2 linked regions of the Drosophila melanogaster genome follow. The protein of the gene in region 2 purifies or fractionates together with the protein of the main gene of each other region. This does not show direct contact. Each region holds a gene or a part of one and is shown on either strand. Other genes may lie near its edges.

Region 1 (10,953 bases), on a different chromosome or scaffold from region 2:
GCTACGACAATCTAAATCCGCGTTCCACTCGCGCACCCGGATTCCGCAGACTCGTCCGGCGCGAGTTTCGACTTCCAACTGGCAACGGAAGTTAGCCACTTGTTGCTCCGAGCCACTCTGTCGGAGCTTTTATCCGCTCCGGAGCTTAAAGCTCTCCAGCGGAGCGGTTACAACAAGATTCAGATGCGAAGTCGGGGGATTTATGCACTCGGGTTCATAATTATGGTAATCCTTGTGGACATGTGTCCTTGTTTTCATAATCAGTACACCTATAAGCATTAAAGTGGTAACTTTAAGCAAAAACTTTCTAATTTGCATAGAAATATTCTGATTCTATATATTGACAGGATACACATCTTTCAGGCCAAAAATATGGTTAGCATTTTGCTTATCGCAGATATAGAATACATCAGTTTGATTAAACAGCATTATACTCGATCCGCGATGATCATTAACACCCTCCAATTTATGGCAGCAAGCCTCTGGTTATAAATCATAATCGCCATAGTTTAAATCAGTGACCAGTTATTATAGGTGCATTATACTTTTAACCTATTGATCTTTAAAATCATGTTAATCCATTATTATAGGATCAAAAATGCAGTAGAAAGCCTTAGGTAAAAGTCGTTGTGGTTTTTGTATACTGATAATAATATGGTCATAAATCAAACAGCTAATTGCATTGTGCAATTTATACAGGTATATTTGTGAAGTAATACCGCCTGCGGTTGTTGCTAAAAGATTCAGAGACGAAACTTAAGGATTAATAGCGCTATATATTCTGTTTATATAGGTGTGAGTCTCTGGGCAGCGTGCAGGTATGTCTGGTCTTAAATCAAATCACAGCTAAATGCATGGGCAACGTTATAGCTAATTGCATTGTCAAAGTCATAGCATTCCGTCCTGTCTATGGCGCAATCTCGCCTAGACCTTCTCGATCTGAACGAATCTCTCGCGCTGATACTGGTCACTGTAGCCGGCGATGAACTTGAGCCGGCCCTCGTACTTCAGATTCATAATGGTCTTCACCATCGGCGGGTGGTCGTTGCCCAGTTCCAGCCAGAGCTTGCCACCGGGACGCAGGTGCCGACAAGCCAAGTCGAAAACCAGTCGAGCCACCCTCAATCCATCGGACCCACCGTCCAGGGCATTAAGGTTCTCATACCTGGGGATATAAGATAGTTAGTGCACTGCATCCATCTGGTATAACATCACTTACACCACGACTTCGGGATGCAGAAACTGAAACTCCTCAGTTTTCACATACGGAGGATTGGAGATGATCAAATCGTACTTCTTGTCCTTCAGCGCCTCCGGCAGGTACTTGTCCTCCTCCATGGTGTGGTTGTGTACCTCAAATCGATTCAGCAGCCCCAGCATTTTGGCATTCTCCGCAGCCAGAACGGTTGCCGCCTTGCTACGCTCAATGGCAGTGGCCACCACCTGCGGCAGACTGTGTAGCATGGACAAGGACATGGCGCCCGAGCCGCAGCCCACCTCCAAAAGATCGACGTGCTTTGCGTTCTTGTGATCATCGATCACCAGGCGCATAAACTCCTCCGTTTCGGGGCGTGGAATGAAGACCGACGGCGATGTCTTCAGCGTAATGTCCATGAAGTCCCACTCGCCAATGATGTGCTGCAACGGCATGCGGGCACAACGGGCCTCCAGGAAGCGCTCGAAATCCGCCAGCTGGCCGGGATTTAGCTGCAGCTGGTCAAATGAGTCAGGAACCGAACTCTACGGAACGTAAACATGGTTAGTGATGTTGATAGCCAGCTTTTCTCACAGATACTTACAAACTTCTGCTTCAGGACATGCGACACGATGCATTTCACGTTGAACTTCCTGTCCTCGACGCCGGCGGCCTTGAGCTTTTCCTCCCACTGTCCAATTTCCAGGGCCTTGGTCACGGGAATGTGGGTGCCAGCTGGGGCATTTGTGCCATAGTTGACCTGCTTAAGCAGCCGCGAGGTCGGGCCCATTGACCGTGTCAGTTGTCTGAGCATTATTTCACTTATTATCTAATTGCTATTGATTAACAACAAAATTTTGACGACCCACTGCCTGCAGTTCGTTCCAGCGTGACCGTTTCTCGACCGTTACAATAAACCAGTGGTCGATATTTGAAAAGTGTTCACGCTTCAAGTGTTACCGTAGAGCGGAATAGTGTGACTTAATTTTCGAGTTCTTGGCGGAAAATTTAAACATGCAACATAATTAGGTTGTTCCAATTAAATGGAAAAGCAATATCAAGTGTTCACGCACTGATTGCAGTCGGCCCTTTTTGTTTATTGTTGCGGAAATAGGTCTATTAAGCATAACAATATGAAAAGGGGGAGTTATAATGGTGAATTATAATAATATATGTATGTATGTACATGAATAAAATAACTGTAAGAGAAAGTAGCAAAGCTCGTTAAGCTTTTTAATACTTTTTTTAAGAATATTCCTGACTAGCTTGGTCTAGTTTAATGTAAGTCCCTAGTCTGAAACGTAGGAAAATAGCTAAACTACTACTGGTCCATCAATAATCAATGCAAATTAGAACTGGTTTGAAGCATATGAGCTCTGACGTCTATATAATATGTAAATTTTATAAGAAACCAAGAGCATTACATAATCAGATAGATAGTTAATATATTCTGAGATATTCTGGATACAAAAATAATGACTTCTTAGCAAAAGAACTTCCAACTAAATGGGTTTACATAGTTAAGGTAACTCTTTTCTTTAGAACTCAAGTTGGCACGAAAACAAGAGGTTTGTTTGCCCAGCAATTGCTTTTATATGATTAGTCCATCCAACAAGACATTTCCCTGATATCTATTTAACAACCTTGTAAATAGAGAATGGCGCTTGTTCAAATATGGGATTGGTCTAGAGTATTTCTGCAAAAGATCCATTGCTTGACCAAGAAGTGAAAATTCAATCGCTTGGCCGTACTAATAATTTTTGTATTTTACAACATATTAAAATATTCATATCATTACATGTTCTATATATTGTATATATTCACATTACGATTGCACAATTATTTCAAAAACGAAAAATAAATCAACGGACACAATAGGTAACAAATTTTTACAAGTCTCCTTTAAGTACTGAAATCAATGGAATTTCCGTGCACTAACTACAGTTTGGGGAATCATAAAGTTCATCAACGGTATACGAAAGATTTACAAATAATCGAAACGACTACTATCCGTCCATCAGTCTATGCGTCCATGCAGATCCCCTACATCTTAAAGGTGTCCGTGCAAGGGATCGCGGCTGTCCCGCAGGTAGACGGGACTGGTGAACGACTTGCCCTCCACATGCGAGGCGAGATTCTCGCCGGCGTAGGTGACGAAGGGCGAGATCTCGCAGACTTCGCCATGCACAATGCCACCGGCGCCTTCGATATACTTCTTGTGCAGGCGATGGAGGTCCGAGCGGGCAGTACTGGGGCAATCCTTGCCAGCTGCATCGGAGTTCTTTAGCGCGCTGAACTCTTCGTCGCGTGGCACTTCCATGGCCACGAACTTCTGGGCGAACTCGAAGACGTCAAAGACAAACTTCTCTATCTTGATGCCGTTCGGCTTGTCGGGCGTTAGACGCTTGCCGGCGTTGTCCACGAAGGGAATCTTCTTCTTGGCCACGTGCAGCTTCAGCTCCTGCTCGTATGTGCTGCCAATCTTCTGCAGGAAGTTCGAGCTGAAGAAGTGATTGCAAATGTTGCCAGCACTGAAGGTCAGCCTGCCGTCTGAATTGCGCATCTCGGCTGTTTTGGCCGAGATTTCGCTGTACTCCACCACCTGGTATTTGCCATCGACAATGGCCACCACGCCCACAGCCTCGTTGGGAGCTGCCTTCTCCACCACCTTAGCGGCGCAGTCGGCCTTCTCCTGCACGCAGTAGCCGATAAAAACGGGATCGGCCACCTTGATCAGGATGTTGTCCACGCTATGGGCATGCAGATATAAGACACCACGCTTCTGCATATCGTCCAGAATCCCCTGGCGCTTCATAGCCCGATAGATTCCTCCGTTGCCGTCCGGCGCACGCGCCACCCGATGCTTTTCGTCCAGAATGATGCGTCCATCGTATTCAAAGCACGGCAGTGATCCCTGCTCGAACAACAGTACGTTCTCCGCCTTCAGGCCAAAGAAGTTATTGGCCACAAAGTAGTCGTATGTGGGTTGCACCGTGTGCTCCGACGTCATGATGTACCAAGTGATGTGTCCACGTTTTCCATTCGCCTCTTGGGCGAGCTCCTCCAGCTTCAGGATTCGCTCGGCCTGAATGCGGAACAGGGTCTTTCGAGACTGCAGTCCCACATCGTACATTCCCTTGGGATGATCGAAGCCAAGTCGTGTGCCTGCAAAGAGAAAGGACAACATTACGAAGGTTTCCACCAATACAGTTCCCCAATATAATAATTATTGCAGTATGTATATAGATAACAATTCCTGAATGTATTAATCACTTGTTAACGACAAGAACTGCTGCATTTTTTATATCTCACCCGGCTGACCTTAAAAACAAGTTTATTTTCGACCATCGTTTCGCTCTTTAGGTTGTCTTTTGTCTGCGCCTTTTTTAACATATATGTATATAAGATACAAGCTGGCTTGTTTAAGGTCAGTTCCACTACCGGTTTCAAAATGATCTGACTACATTTAATCTACGGCTTATCGGTACAGCAAACGGAACCTCCACTCCTGACCAGAAATTCTCAGAAATCAGAAACCGTTATCTAGGTTCACTACTTATGACTCTTCTCGAATTTGAACGTGCAAGAAATAATGCTATGAGCAATCGGTGTTCAACTCCGTTTCTTGGTTTCTCAAAAGACAATTACGTGATTGGACTCCAGCGTTTGCCCAAGAAACTGGTAAGGAAATGTCAAATGCCGCCCACATTTCAATGTTTCGATTCGAAAGAGCACTGGCCCCGCCTGAAATCAAAATGAGAAAGGCAAGTCTGGGGCTGTAAGAATGCCTTCCACATTGCTGCTGGCCTGGCGTGTTTCTTAGTTTTATACGCTTTTTGTCTTGCAAACGGAATTACAATTGCAATTATTACAATGCAGCTGCATGAGTGGGCAGCTGATTGGGATTGCGTGTATTTGTGAGCACTTTTATATCGAGTTAATTAGCTTTTATAAAGCACACACACTCTGCGAATGCTCAAGTTTCTGTTTTAGTTCGGCTTACACTATGTTTTTTGCTCGCAAAGGCGCAATTTTTTTTTTTGATGGGTAGCCGATTGGGGCATGATAAAAATATCTCAACTTGTACGGTATCTAAGGAAGTATCTTTCAGAGATACAAGCAAATGTGAACTCTGAAACGAACGAACTATGAGTGCAATGGAAAATTTCTTTACTTGTAGCCTTTGATTTGTATATATTTTGATTTTTAAACTGACTACCATATCGTGCTCGCGCATTGGAAACGTTAAAAACCATTATGGTAAGTCTCAAAACGAAAATCGTTCATTTTCGAATAACCTAATCGTTTTTGCTATCAATGATTGACGACTTAAAATCCATTGCTATCTGAAGTTTATATAAACGCCATACAACACTACCAACTGGACCCACAAAGGTCTGTCCCACTTCCAGTGCGTCAAATTGCTCCATAATCACACTATTGACTTAAATATGCTACCAACTAAACACAGGTGTACTATTTCCCTAGCTATTATTCTGTTTTTTCTGTTAAATTAGAGAAACTCCAGCTCACCTTGTCCGCCTGCCATAAGCAGCACAGCGACATGTCCGTTGCTGATCTGGAGGAGACCCTCGTCTCGGTAGGCGTCCAATTTCTCCAGCGGCGCCCTGGCAATGGAGATTAGCTTGCCCTCGGGCAGCGGCTGCAGGCGATCGTCCAGCTTGATGCCATTCTCGTTCATTGAGACCGTGGCGCGGTCGAAATACAGCTTGATCTCGTCCAGATTCAGCTCCTCGATGTCCCGCACCAGGTCGATGCGTTCGTCATTCGTTAGTTCCGGCCAGAACTTGAGCAGGTGCTCCTGGCCCACCTGGGCGAGTCGCGAGTGCAGCGACAGGTAGTCCGTCATTGTTGGCGAAGTTTTGGCTGCGTTTGGTGATTTTGATGTGGCACCGCCAGCTGCAAGAATCCAGAGACAAGATATTTGACTAACAAATTATAAACAATAGAGACAAAATATTATTACGCGGTATCCTACTTAATACGTTATATTCTTCACCATAATTTTGGAACATTTTAAATGCGAACACACAGTTAAAAACAAGGTTTTATCTTTAGAGATCACATTGGAATCATATATTAATTGCTGCTATCTGTTTGTTAATTCAGCTAATGGAACGGGCTCTCCCGAAGGTGTGTATTTACGTTTCTCTCCGCTGGCTGACTGATTATTTGGCGAATGCGGTAAAAAGACAGTGGTCGGGTTGTCCGGGCTTTGTTGCGTTCCGCTATACGTGGTAACCAAAGCGCAACTGAGCGCCAAGCGATCGCCCTCAGTGGTTTTTCTTGCTCAAAGTGGAGCCGTCAGACAACCACCATCGCCTTCGCCTCCATCTGGTTGTGTCTCTGTGGGAACGCCTGAATATCTGAATGGCAGTAGCTCGTGTGCAGGTTATATTGGTATCTGGTATTTGGGCGCGAATGTGTGCGAACGTGTGTCTCTTAACGTATTTGCAGCCGCGTTTTAACATGGCCACGCCAGTTGTTTTGGCCATACCCTGTAAAAACCTGAAGGGCGGGATCGCGATCATGGCGGAAAATGTGCCCAATCAATCACAGTCTCTTTTTGGTATTAGATACTACATTGTTTAATTATAATCTGTTTCAGAAAGCGAAAGAGAAACATATTCCTTATAGGTGAAACGTAAAAGTTATAATTATAATTTAACAGCTTTGCTTCGTATTTCTACATATGTAGATATAAATATTTGTATGTATGTACATCTGTTAAGTGATCTTAATGAGCTCAACCTTGTTTTTATTAAAATTGAATAAGAGGAATGCGGGAATTCCCAACGACTTAAGACTTAAGAACATGTAACTTGTGAGTGAGGGTATCAATTAGTCGTGTCTGCGGTCGGCTCTCTTGATTACACGGCTGATACGGCTACTGGGACTGCAGCAATTTCAATCGGATTTTCGCTGCTTGGCCAATTCGCCAAGCAGCAGCGTGTTGCAAATGCAAAGCGAAATATCAGAAACCGAAATCGAATTCGAAACCAAATGGCCCTGAACACGGGCTTTAGTTTTAGTGAAAGTAAGAGGTGCCACAGTCCAAGAAACGCCAGCCACAAGGAAACTCCTAAGGGCGACACATATTTATATATAGTTCATACAGTTCAGTTCCTGATAAACGGGTTACAAACTAGTTGAGTGGGTTATCGGGATTTGTTGGAAAGGTTATGGCATTAAGGCGAGCCAAGAACTGACAAAAACATGGCAAAACTAAGTCGGTGCTCAGCCGGTTTATTCGGTTTTAATACCCATTAACTTAAGCGCAATGGTTTATATTAAATATTATGGAATGGAAAAGTAAGCGCAATAATAAGGTATCAACAAGAATAACAGTAATTGAAAAATATCACCATTATATGCATCTTTATAAGATAAGATAAGATGTCATATAAATAAAAATGTATAAATGTATAACAAATCAATATATATCTATATCGATTTAAGGAAAACGGGGTAAAAAATACATTTAAGGAGTGATAAGAGGGTATTTTACATTCGCTACACTGACCATTATTGTTGTTTTTGCCACGAAGCAAAACACTTGTCTGCATGTATGAGTGCGCATAAAAAAAAAGATAAAGCTGCAGCAACAAAAACACTCCCCGCACACACACACACACACACAAGTACCCAAAAACGGAACAAAACAGCGATAGCAAGTAAGTTGTTTACATACACCCACTGCTGTGTGTGTGTGTGTGATTGTGGGCTTTCCGCTTTTTTCTTATCGCAGCTCTGGGCTCCAACTATTGCGCTACCATTATCAGTTTGCTTTTTCGAGTGGGTTTTTACCAACTAACCATTGCGGTGGCGCCTCACATGAGTCTGCTGGTGATGCGAACTGAAGTTGCTGCGACCCATTTTGTCTGGGAACACCCTGTATTACTTTTGGCTCCACTTCACTCCGTGCGAATTGTTTATGCAGTGACTGTGCCTCGTCCGTCGAGGATTCTATGGCATCGTGCTAGTCCTGACGAGGTTTAATTCACACTGCGTGCGGCTGTTGATTACATGGGCAAACGGAAAATGCACAATCCGAATGAAACAGTCTCCCAAGAACTGGGCGGAGAATCGATATCGATTACAAGCGAATCCAGCTGGCCGCCAGTGTGACCGTTGAGGGGTGGGCGTACTACGCTGGGCCATCGAAAAAATACCAAGTGCATAATTCGAAAAATATTAAAAATTAAATACAAAAACATACAAAGAATTATTATTAAAACTTTATTTTTCGAAATTTTTGAATTTTTAAATCTATTTTATAATGTCAGACTTTATTTTACCATTTTTCGTTAAAATTACTATAGTTAAAAATTTGTTAATCTGGCATTAATTGACGTTAATTAAACATTCTGAATGAATGTTTGTTCGGTAAAATGGCTTAATCTTTATATATACGCGTATAATGAATGTACATTTCTTAAGAAAAAATCTTTGCTTAGAAGTGGATAGTAAAATATTGCAAACACATATATTAGCAATTTAAAAATTTTTTTTAAAAGTAGTAAAGGCATGAATGGCATATGAACGACCCCACTGCAATTGTTAGTAATTCGCATACGTTTTCAGCATTCATAAGCTTTTCGAGTCAGAAACAACGACATTTTCGGAGTTTTAAATATATTTACAGTTATTAACTAAATAAAGCATCATTTTCAATTACATGTAAGGACTACAACAGAAAGTATGCATCTATGTAAGGGCTCTAGTATTTTCATAACGCCCGGAAGGTATTGGTTTAGGCTGATCTCATATTACTCCGCCGCTCCTAGCAGCATGGCCGGCGGTGTGCGCAGCAAGCAAGCGTAAGTCTACAGGACACTACGAAACACACGAACGGTAATTACAAAATGGGAACACTGATGGGGGGTACGTACTTGATGCAGAATCATACAAAACATGGGCGTAAATCATTAGATCATTCGTTTAAATATCAAAAATTCATTAATATATGCATAGAATCACTGTCTAGGCCATCGAAGACGTGGTTGGTACGTCGTCCAGGTTAATAAGGGTCGCCTCGACACCTCCGCTGGAGGAGGATTCAGCACCTTGACCCGGAACATTACCCTCCTTGGGCGGTGGCGCCGGCATTGGTATTGCAATCGGGCTCATGGTGCTGATCATGCGCGGCTCCGCCCGCGACGTTGTGATGGGCAGCTGGCTGGCGCTGCCGGTGGACTTCAGGAAGTCGGGCTGCGGCATCTGAGCAGGACCGGGCCCATGACTGTGTCCCGCTCCATGACTATGACTATGGCCCGCTCCATGGCTGTGACTGTGGCCAGTGCCGTGACTGTGATGCTTTTGCTGCTGGTGCGGCGCGTGCTGGTGATGATGATGTTGCAGCTGCTGCTGCTGCGGGAACGACTTGGGCAGCTGGGCGTGGCGGCTGGAGTCCGTGGCCTTTAGGCGCTCACTTAGCGCCTTCAAGGCAATTTGTCTAGGATCGAAGAAAAAAAATCACAATGTAAACATTATAATTATTTAGGCTAATGCAAAAACTCTTATCTAATGAGCAATTATTAGCCTGTTGTGATTAAATGTTTAGTGGCTCTTTAGATAAGCGTACTTAAATTGATATCGAGACAATCCAGTTAAACTGCTAGCTTACTTACCGCCTTCTCTCAATGTCATGCGGATCCACTCCCGGCATTTGCACCGATACCGACGTCAGGCTGGCCGTAGATATCGTCCGCAGCGGCGTGGGCGTCTTGACCACGCCCGCCCGCAAACAGCAATTGTAAATGGGATTAACCAATACGCTGATAAACGGCTGTGATACGTTTGGGAAGAAGCTGACGAACGTGAAGCTCTCCGAGCTGTCGCCACGCCCATTGGGATGGTGTTGATAGAAGCGGAGATAGATCCAAGAAACCAGCGATCCGGAGGCGAACATAGCCGGATAAGTGCCATCTAGCAGGCCAATGGCCCACAGTATGATGGCCATGATGAGCACCGTGAGGGGAACGTTCCTGAGTAGTAAAGAGTACATTTGTATATTCAAGTGGCGGCTATGATTCAGGATTTACTTTGAGAAATACAATATAGTATCTTAAACAATGGTGTGTTTGTTATTATTTACAAAGTATCATTTCATAGAATTCTCGAGGGTATTTACTTGCGCGTTAGTAAACCAATATTTATTGAACTTTGACCCAAAGTTAAAGGGCTGATGAGCCAGTAAATTCTATTCAATTTATTGAGCTTGCGCCCATTTAAATCTAGGGGCAGAGTATGAAAAATTACCGCTCTTTGATTCTGTGAATGTATCTTTTTAGGTTTAAAGCCATATTTGGAAATAATCGAGAGATTTCTAAGACTAAACTTTCTAAAGCGAGCTCTTAGCTACCGTGTGACTCTGAAATGGAAACATATCAATCAATTATCTCACCTATTGGTCAGACGTCCGTAGCGCGTCTTGAAGATCAGGTGATCGGGCATTATCTGGCGTACGGCTACGCAGATGCCAGCCACGTATCCGGCCAGGCCGTGAATGTGCACCTCGAAGAGAATGGTCGGGTTCTTGGTGACCATGTAGTAGAACAAATAGTAGACAGTGGTCAGCAGCGAGACGCCAAAGTTGCTCAGCGCGAAGAACTTGAACATCTCCAGCTGGCCCCAGAGCGGTTCCAGCATCTTGCCGCACAGGCCGACGGTGACCACGTCGACGGCCACCTCCCACCAGTGCAGCTCGATGAAGCAGAACGTGAAGGCGGTCCATA
Region 2 (9,242 bases):
TCGCACCAAAATGGTTATCTGGTATACGGTGCTCCTGTTGCTCACTTTGGCATTGTTCCTGCTGCGCACCTTTGGATTCTTCTTCATGTGCCTGCGCATCTCATTGACATTGCACGATCAGCTCTACCATGGGATAATCCGCGCCTGGATGTACTTCTTCAATGCTAATCCATCTGGGAGAGTGCTCAATCGATTCTCCAGCGACATACAGAATGTAGATGTGAATCTGCCACAGGCTATGATGGATTCCCTTCAAGTAAGTACACCTAGCTCAACCACTTCTTCTTTAGTCTCATGCAATTCTTAATCTTGTCCCTTAGTTCCTGGTAGATGTGGTGGCTGTGCTGGTGATCGTGGCCATCGCCAACTATTGGCTGCTCATCCCAGCAGCCATTATGGTTATACTATTGTATTTCTGCCGTGCCCTCTATATAGGCGCCAGTCGAAGTCTGAAGAGGATTGAGAGCTTAAGTAGGTTCAAATTTATCAGAATAATCTAGCCTTACTAACTTTTCTCATTTAACTTAAAAGCACGCAGTCCCATCTACTCGCACACAAACCAAACCTTCCATGGACACTCGACCATTAGGTCCATGGACGCCATGCCGCAGCTGGAACAGACTTTCCATGGCCACCAGAACACAAACTCCTCTGCCCTTTTTCTTTATGTAAGCGCCAACAGGGCGTTTTCCTTCTGGACCGATCTGATTTGCGTGATCTATATCCTGGCGGTGACCTTTAGCTTTCTGGTTATCAATCAGAGCTTCTACAGCGGTGATGTGGGTCTGGCCATCACCCAGTCCATGACATTGGTGATTATGTGCCAGTGGGGAATGCGCCAGACTGCCGAGATGGAGAACAATATGACCAGCGTGGAACGTGTGCTAGAGTACGCCCAGACGCCATCGGAGCCACCACTTGAGAGTCCAAAGAGTGTGAATCTTGCAGCTGAATGGCCGCAAGCGGGTCACCTTCGATTCCAGGATCTTCGCATGAGATATTCCCCGGGAGACGAGGATATTCTTAGAGGACTGAACTTTGAATCCCAGCCCATGGAAAAGATTGGCATTGTGGGACGTACTGGAGCGGGAAAATCCTCTATAATTCAAGCTCTATTCCGATTGGCTCTTAATGAGGGAACCATCGAGATCGATGGACTGGACATTGGTAAACTGGGTCTCCACGACCTGCGAAGTAGAATCTCGATTATCCCACAAGATCCGGTTCTGTTCTCTGGAACACTGCGCTTCAATCTGGATCCATTTGATGAAAAAAGCGACGAGTCCCTGTGGAGTGCATTGGATGACGTCAAACTGAAGAAGCATGTTGCCTCATTGGAAGGAGGTCTCTCCTGTCGCATGCAGGACGGTGGCTCCAACTTCAGCATGGGTCAGAGGCAGCTGGTCTGCTTGGCCAGAGCCATTCTACGACAGAATCGAGTTCTGGTCATGGACGAAGCAACTGCAAATGTGGATACAGAGTAGGTTCTTAAGATATTATTTTCATTTTTTTCGTAATTAACACTTTATCTCTTAGAACTGATATCCTGATCCAAGAAACCATCCAGACCAAGTTTGCTGAGTGCACGGTTCTAACGATCGCTCACAGATTGCACACTGTGATGGACAATGACAGCGTCCTGGTCATGGATGCTGGCCAGATTGTGGAGTTCGGAGCACCTCACAAGCTCCTGCAGCGCAAGGATGGAGCCCTTCTTAAGCTCGTCAATCAGAACGATGCGACCACCGTAAAGTTCCTCAAGAGGATTGCATCAGAGAGTTATATGCGCCGCAACAGAAGAGACTCCTTGACCATTTCCGAAGAATGAGCAAGGATCGCCAGCGGAAGCAGGATTTAACTTAAGCATCGCCATTGAGAAATTGTACTGCCGCGGAGAACAGTCAAATTCGGTTTTATTGGTACGAAAAGTGTACGATAAAGTGTATTTACATAGCAGTAGAATTACGCTAGTACTAATGATAGTTCGGCACTTAAAACGAGGAGACTCTGACACACGCGCGCACACACAAGATTACAACATAGATGTATGTATATATATATATATATATATATGTATGTAGGTAATATATCAAAATTGTAAACTTGATGGATAGCCTAAGATGATGGTAAACATTCCATTTAAAATAACATTAGGTATTGACATGTATGGGTAAAACTAGGATCAGAAACACTCTGATATGCTCTCGAATGAAAAGAAAACGTTCTTTATGTTAGCTATACAAATGCTATGGTATGTACAGAGAACGCTAGAAACAAAAATATATATATGGTCAAACCACATCCGCTTCAGCTTCTTCCTGCTATTCAATCCGAATACGATGCGATGCACGACGCAGTGCAGCGAACTCCTTGAAGACCAGTCGCCCCAGCAGCACCATGGCAATGATGTCGGCAGCGATGAGCATGTGGAAGACATACTGCCATCCGGCGGTGGAGATAAGGCCGGCAAGCAGTGGACCAACTGCCGCTCCGATTGACCCAGTACCATCGATAATGGCCGTCACCGTGGCCAGAGCATTGGCATTTCCCTCCAAGGAGCTGTGCTGGCCCAGCTCTGCACTTACAGAGGTTGTAATCAGGGCATATGGTCCGTTCACAAAGATGCCGACCACAATCAAGAGCACTATGCTGATTGTCATCGACAATGCACCATATTGTTGATACATCAGCAGCTGAAACGAATACATGTTCCTAGTAATGGTTTCTGTGGCTTGTCTAGAGTACTTACAATGGGCGAGGCAACGAACAACATGCCTGTGCAGACGGTGGCCGACATTCCGCTCACATCTGATAGATAGCCCGCAGCTATTGCACCCAAAATACCACCCACATCGAAAAGAGTGGACAAATCAGCGGACAGTTCTGGACCCAATGTGCCTGCATAAGAGGAATCGCTTTATTGACTGTTTTGTATACTATTTTCTGGGCACTTACTGGATTTTTGTATGTAAAGTGGCAGCCAGTACATGAAGGTGTAGCTCACCAGCTTGGTAAAGAACAAACACAGCGAAAACTCTACCACACCGGGTATGAATAAAGCATCGATCAGACTGATGGGACGTCCGCGACCCCTTGGCACCGCCTCTGGTTGAGATCGTGGAAGGATTGGAGTACGTTCGGTGGGAGCAGATCTATAGTTGATTTCCTAAAATAAAATAAGACGAATTTTTAAACTATTTAAAATGGAGTGGCGTGCAAAGCGCAAGATTTACATAAGCAAAAATGGCAGACATAACAAGAAAACCATGGAAATAGTCATGCACTTACAGTTCTCGAAGTTTCGTACCCAAAACTGATCACACACTAACGCCGAGCAAAGTACGTTTTTGAAATCATAATTGCAACATATTGGGAGACCGGGTGTAATGTACATCGCATGCGGAACATCAATGAAAAATCTGAATCTGATACTTACCGCATCGTTATGGCGCACCTGCTCCTCGTCGTCCTGTTCCACATCAGACTCGTTGGCCACGCGACGCTCATGCTGTCCGGCTTGTGGATAACAGCCCACAATCTCCGGCTGATCCACTAGGAAAAGGAAGAGTAAAAATCCAACGGCTGCAATGATAATGCCGGGTACCACAAACGACAGCGCCCAATCGGATTCCACATAATGCGCCGCTATCAGCGTGCCAAGAATGTTTCCAATAGACGTATGACTGTTCCATATACCAAAAATGAGCCCGCGTTTCGACTTTCCAAACCAACGACCCACGAGGGCCACTACACCTGGCCATCCGGTCGTCTGGAAGATGCCAGCGAATATTTGCACTATTATGAAATACCACAAACTATGGATATTGGAGGTGCGAGCAATGCCGAACATGTAAGTGAACACTCCGGTGAGGATCATGCCCATGGACAAGAAGTATCGCAGGGAAACGCGTTCCGCCACGAAACCAGAAGCGAACATAGCGATGGCATAGGAGAAGAGGAAGGCCGAGTCCAGCATTCCAAAGAGTGTGGTGGCATCGGGAACATCTGTAAATTGGCCACTTGTTTATAGGGTAACACGTTAGAAGTGTTAAGGGAAGAACTAACCAAAGGGCGCATATCCACAATCCTGACCCGATGCAGCCAGCGCTGTGGAACAGTTTCCTTGCAGCACCGACTTGACTACGGAGATGGGCTTGCGGCACATGTGATAGCAGGCGTAGGCCAGGAAAGTTAGCACAAACACTGACATCTTGTAGCTGAAATAGACATAATATCAATATCTACCCAATATAGTTATTCATAATATGGGGTCAACTTAACGCTCAGCACTCATTTGCAATGAAATCTTATATTTAGAAGTTATCGCATACTCACAGCAAATCTCTGCGGGCATGGAAGCGGGTGCAGCATTGTCGGGACAGCCGCTGCACAGCCCGGATGCCGAATGGCACGTCGTTGTAGTTATTGCTCATCTTTCGCGTTCTGCCCAATCCCAGTGAAGCTCTCATCGACCGGCGCGGACAGTGGGCGAGGTGCAAGTGCTGCTCGTCCAGGTGGCTGGGTTCCCGAATCCGTTTCGGTTGCGAGTAATGCCAGCTACCTAAAAGAACAATGATCAACAGGTAGGTGGTGAGTGATGTGGTGACTCAGTTCGAGATACATTTTCGGCTTTAAGGGGTGGAAGGTGCAGGTACAGCGGAGTGGGTTGCGGTTTCTGCTGAGGTCGCGGATAAAATTTCCGAACTTATCACCATACATATGTTTCTGCTCCCCAGTTTTCTTGTTTACGTCGTCGTTCCGCTCAAACAATGAAGCTTCGTATCGCAGTCGTAAAACGAAATGCGTTTCCGCTGGCTTTACTATTCTGCTGCGTTGGCGAAAAATATTCAACTTAGATAGTGTTTTGCCGTTTGTGATAAGAAACCGCACGTTTTTTATCTCAACGAACGCCGATCGTTTTATTCCTATACTGTTATCATAGAAGTCTCTTGTTTTTAACGTAATCCATCAATGTTTATTTACTTTTCTGTTCACTTGTCCTCATCAATTTACAGAGTATTTCATAGTCGACGCTTGTCGGATTTCTAAGTCTTTGTTTGTTGTCGCCACCAGATGGAATTTCTTGCGGAATCTAACAGATTGCTTGGGAATAAACACGGCGACATTGAAAAACAGCTTTAGCCACTTAATATTACCGTTAAACACACACTAAACAGCTGCAGTAAACATTACTCCGTCGGAAAATAACAAAATAAAGGTGGAGAAACATCGACTGCTGCCCGCGACTATCGATATGTGCTGCCAGTGTGACCACAGATGCTACGTCTTGTATATTTTAGTATGTTTCCAGAGCGGTATTGCTGGTTTAATTTTCTAAACTGCAGTTATATTTGAAAATTGCATTTGAATAATAATTACTTCAAGAGATCCTTTCTCCTTGGCTGTTTTGTATATATGTATATTTGTATTGAATCTGTGCATTTGCAAGCCACACGTTTAGGTAACGATTGGGATCCACCTACAGCTATAGATTTGGCTTATAAGTTTACTTTAGAAATTAGACGTTGACACTTGATCTCGGAATCGCATTTCCTGAGATCACTGGCTAATTATTTCTTTTGACACGCGACTGAATGAATAAATACAAATTACTCATTGTTGAAATTCCGCTTGTTGACAACAGACTACTAGCAGGGGAAAATACAACAGACCGCGTGCACATCACCTGGCTTTTCAATCAGACTCGACTGAGAGCGGAAAATGCTCTGGATTTTTCCACACTTATACGCTAATTTCCTCCGCTTCCAGTGCGAAAATCAAGGCGGGAAACAAGAACAATTGCAGGTGCTAATAACGGCGGGCAAAAAAACTTTGCCAATAGTATAAAATGTGGGAATTAGCCAAGTTGAACCACACTTAACAACCAGCAGTTCAGCAAAGAACAAGTCGATTTTATATCAGTACTTAAAATCTAAAAAACTTACCATTAAAATGCGTTGCAACAAGGTATGTTCGATTGGCAACCTTTAAAGTATTTGTTGCTAATATATGTATCCATATAATAGATTATTTTCCAACTTATTGCCTGTTTTGTGATCATTGAGCTTGTGCTCGGTTATCCCCAAGATCGTTTCACATCAGCGGAACAGATTCAACAACTAAGTGATGCCAATGAAGGGGATGCTCATCCAGAGATCTCTTCCAGCAGTGAAACCCTTAGAAATTTATACAGATACGAGCGCACTCTGAGCAGATTACGAAGAGCTCTGGAGGAGTTGGCCTATGAGGAGGCGGCCGATGATATGGAACTGGCCGAGATTAATGTTTTCCGGCCACTCTTCCGTTACCGATCTCAGGTGGTGAAGGTGAAGAATCCGCAGCAGCAGTTTGGTTAACTAAACTCTTTAGTCTTAAGATCATCGCCTCATCTAATGTCAATAGATAGTCATATGCCATTGATATCTTTTATACAAACCTAGCCTGTTAAGGAGTAATATAGAACTTATTTATATTGTTAAACATTTAAATATTTTATTGTTTCATTTGTTTGAGCCTACGCGCCTTGCAAATATACACACGTGATTAAGCATATGTACACACCGATCTATGTGGTTCTCATTAGAGTTAGGTATATTATTGTAGTTACTTTTCATGTTTCCACTTTGAGCACATTTACTTAAAGGCTTTTGTGGAGGACACGCGAATTCCTTGCATTGCACTATTTCTTGGAAGGATTCCTAATATAAACACACCGACACACACATACATATTTGACTAAGGAAGACACAAAGAATATTGACTGCTAACGCTACAATATAAATATAAATATAAATATATATGTATATATATATACGATGGATCATCGAGGGCTATTTCTTTTTTTTTATGTTTTTATTTTAAATCTGTCTACGCAGCTAGCTAACTCCCTGTAAGACTTCCCTAAGCTGCTGAAAACGAAAATAACAAAGTGCTGCAATCCGACTTTAACACATACTCTATATAAATATTATATGAAAATCGTTACTCTTCGGTTAAATATATAGTATATATAACTATCTTTTTTGCTGCGAACATTTTGCACACCTTTATTCTGCTTGTAAACAGCTAAGCCGCTAGCTTATGAAAAATATCGACCCCCCCCTCCCTCCACTTGCTCCTGGCTTAGAAAAGTTACTAAAGTTGCTAGTTAAGTACATAAGTAGTGTTGTTCTCTGTTCTGTTGTGTTTAGTTTAGTTTAGCTTAGTTAGGTTTAGTTAGAATTTTTGGTTTTGCTCCTTTCGCTTGGTTCCATTAAGTTGCTCATACGCATAGTCGCTGCAAGCGTTGCACATACATATGTACGTCCCTAGGTTTTACATTAAATTTGATTTAATTTTTGATTATCAGGCTTACGTTAGACACTACAAATAGCTGGCTGCACGCACACACACACACACACACACCCACTCCTCGGTATGCAAATGGCTGCTTACAGGCGAATTGGAGAGCTTCGAAATCTCGAAACCTGTTTACATATTAGATGAGCCCATCTGGAGCACTTAGAGATAAAGCTTTACACATACATATTCACATATCAACACACTTAGCCGCTAAGTACATATACTCGTATAGACCTATAGATTTTGGATCGATTTGCCCTTTTAGAGCACCTGCAGATTCTCGCAGTGCTTGAACTTGGAGTCCTCCTTGCCCAGGATCCAGGTGAGCATCTGGCGGGCCTTCATGCTGGCCAGCATCACGCTGCGGCTTTTGTACCAATGCGCCGGCGAATTGGCGTCCCTTGGTCCCTGAAATGGGCCAAAATATTAGATAAATCACATTTACTCTACTCTATGTATTCGCCAAAAGGAACAAATGCTTCACTTGGGTGGGCGGGGATTTACGGGCTTTATTTACATTTGGCTCTCTATTCAACTGCATTTTTATGGCCCTGCAGTTTTGTGGTTATTCCATTTTTGGGGCGCCAATTGAAGTTTGCATTTTTCATGTCCTTTGTGCGGATTCTGGGAGTGGGCACAGGATGATAAACAACAAACAAACAAAACACTTTTGGCAGTGTGCTTGGAATAGTTTCTCTACACTTGGACACTTGACACATTTTCTTCTTGTTGGCAAACAGGCACAAGTTCTTTTGGCGAAAGTTCAGGGCGCTTCTATATATATTATGAATACAATCAACAACGCATAAACAGGGAGTTATGGCTCGGATTTTATTGGATTTCACAGAAAAAGTATCTATAGGATACTTTTACAAATCTCCAAAAGTATTTTGGGGTTTTATAAGATTTACAATGTGTTCATTTGTTCATCATTATATTTTAGACACCAAATAGGATATACAGGGTATATAACTTCTATCTATAGAATCATGCTTGTTTCGATTACGGGTTGGGGTTTGAAGAACACACCGATTAAACATCGATTAGATTCAGTCCGGATAGCAGGTGATTTTAAATGGATTTTTAGTCGGGGGTACATTTAGTTTTACTTACCCCGTCGTCGGCTTTAAGATCAGTCAGACAGTTATCAGTTTCTACAGTCTCTATGTTTGTGTTTTCTTTAAATTTGTTTTTATCTTTATCTTTTGATTTTTTCGGATTTAGCTGCGAAAGCGATCGATGTACATTGATTACAAGACACCAAAAACAGAGATAGATGGGAGTACAACTAGCTAACCAGCAAACTAGAGCTATAGAGAGCTAGAGCTAGACCTATGGGTTTTCTCTTCTTTTTTAGTTTTGTTTGGGACTTTGAACATACCTGCAACTGAACTTGGTCCTTCTTGAGGCGAATCTGGGTGAGCGTGCCGGCCAGGAGCTCGTCGCAGTTGTGATTGATGCCCACGGAGACCTCGATAAACTTGGCTCCAAACGTGCAGGCCACGCATTTGCCATCTACGAAGCAGAATGGTGGAATGGTGGTGGATACGGATTCGGTCAGGTCACGCCACTTAATTGACGATGCAAATGAATGCAACGACTTGTCGGTAGTGGCTAATTGCAATACTCACCCTGGGCGGAAACGGCGCGTGAGCGGGCCAAATCAATTTTGTTGGCCACCAGGATGGTGGGTCGATGGCGCAGCAGGTCCATGTCCTGCAGTCGCGATAGTATCTGCTTGGCCCGCGTGAAGGACTCCTTGTCAATGCAGGAGTAGACCACCAGAAAGGCATCCGCCTGCTCCAGTTCATCCTACAAGGCACACAAAACAGCAAAAGCAAACACGGGCCAATTGAAACACGGAACTCAACAAGTTTACAACATTCTGGGCATCAGGCCTT

The links.
Region 1: the proteins of MFS16 (region 2) and mmy purify together in Drosophila melanogaster (affinity purification with mass spectrometry, with the first as the bait; one large-scale study listed by BioGRID). This does not show direct contact.

The regions. Positions count from the first base shown.
Region 1 is NT_033779.5:6,465,600-6,476,552, forward strand, and holds mmy (mummy), read right to left. Parts: upstream 8,306-10,953; 5' UTR 8,093-8,305; coding exon 8,032-8,092; intron 6,474-8,031; exon of another isoform or gene 6,362-6,473; intron 6,116-6,361; coding exon 5,729-6,115; intron 4,361-5,728; coding exon 3,246-4,360; 3' UTR 2,992-3,245; downstream 1-2,991. Other genes in the region: HemK1 (HemK methyltransferase 1), read right to left, coding at 925-1,165, 1,220-1,740, 1,800-2,009; CG9536 (uncharacterized protein), read right to left, coding at 9,200-9,671, 9,847-10,203, 10,623-10,953.
Region 2 is NT_033778.4:21,278,306-21,287,547, reverse strand, and holds MFS16 (major facilitator superfamily transporter 16), read right to left. Parts: upstream 5,251-9,242; 5' UTR 5,006-5,250; coding exon 4,984-5,005; exon of another isoform or gene 4,718-4,983; intron 4,711-4,717; exon of another isoform or gene 4,562-4,710; coding exon 4,336-4,561; intron 4,218-4,335; coding exon 4,066-4,217; intron 4,006-4,065; coding exon 3,437-4,005; intron 3,167-3,436; coding exon 2,956-3,166; intron 2,899-2,955; coding exon 2,750-2,898; intron 2,694-2,749; coding exon 2,322-2,693; 3' UTR 1,869-2,321; downstream 1-1,868. Other genes in the region: CG10505 (uncharacterized protein), read left to right, coding at 1-256, 321-471, 532-1,480, 1,537-1,828; CG34203 (uncharacterized protein), read left to right, coding at 5,953-5,967, 6,027-6,356; Rgk3 (Rad, Gem/Kir family member 3), read right to left, coding at 7,603-7,749, 8,455-8,565, 8,723-8,856, 8,973-9,153.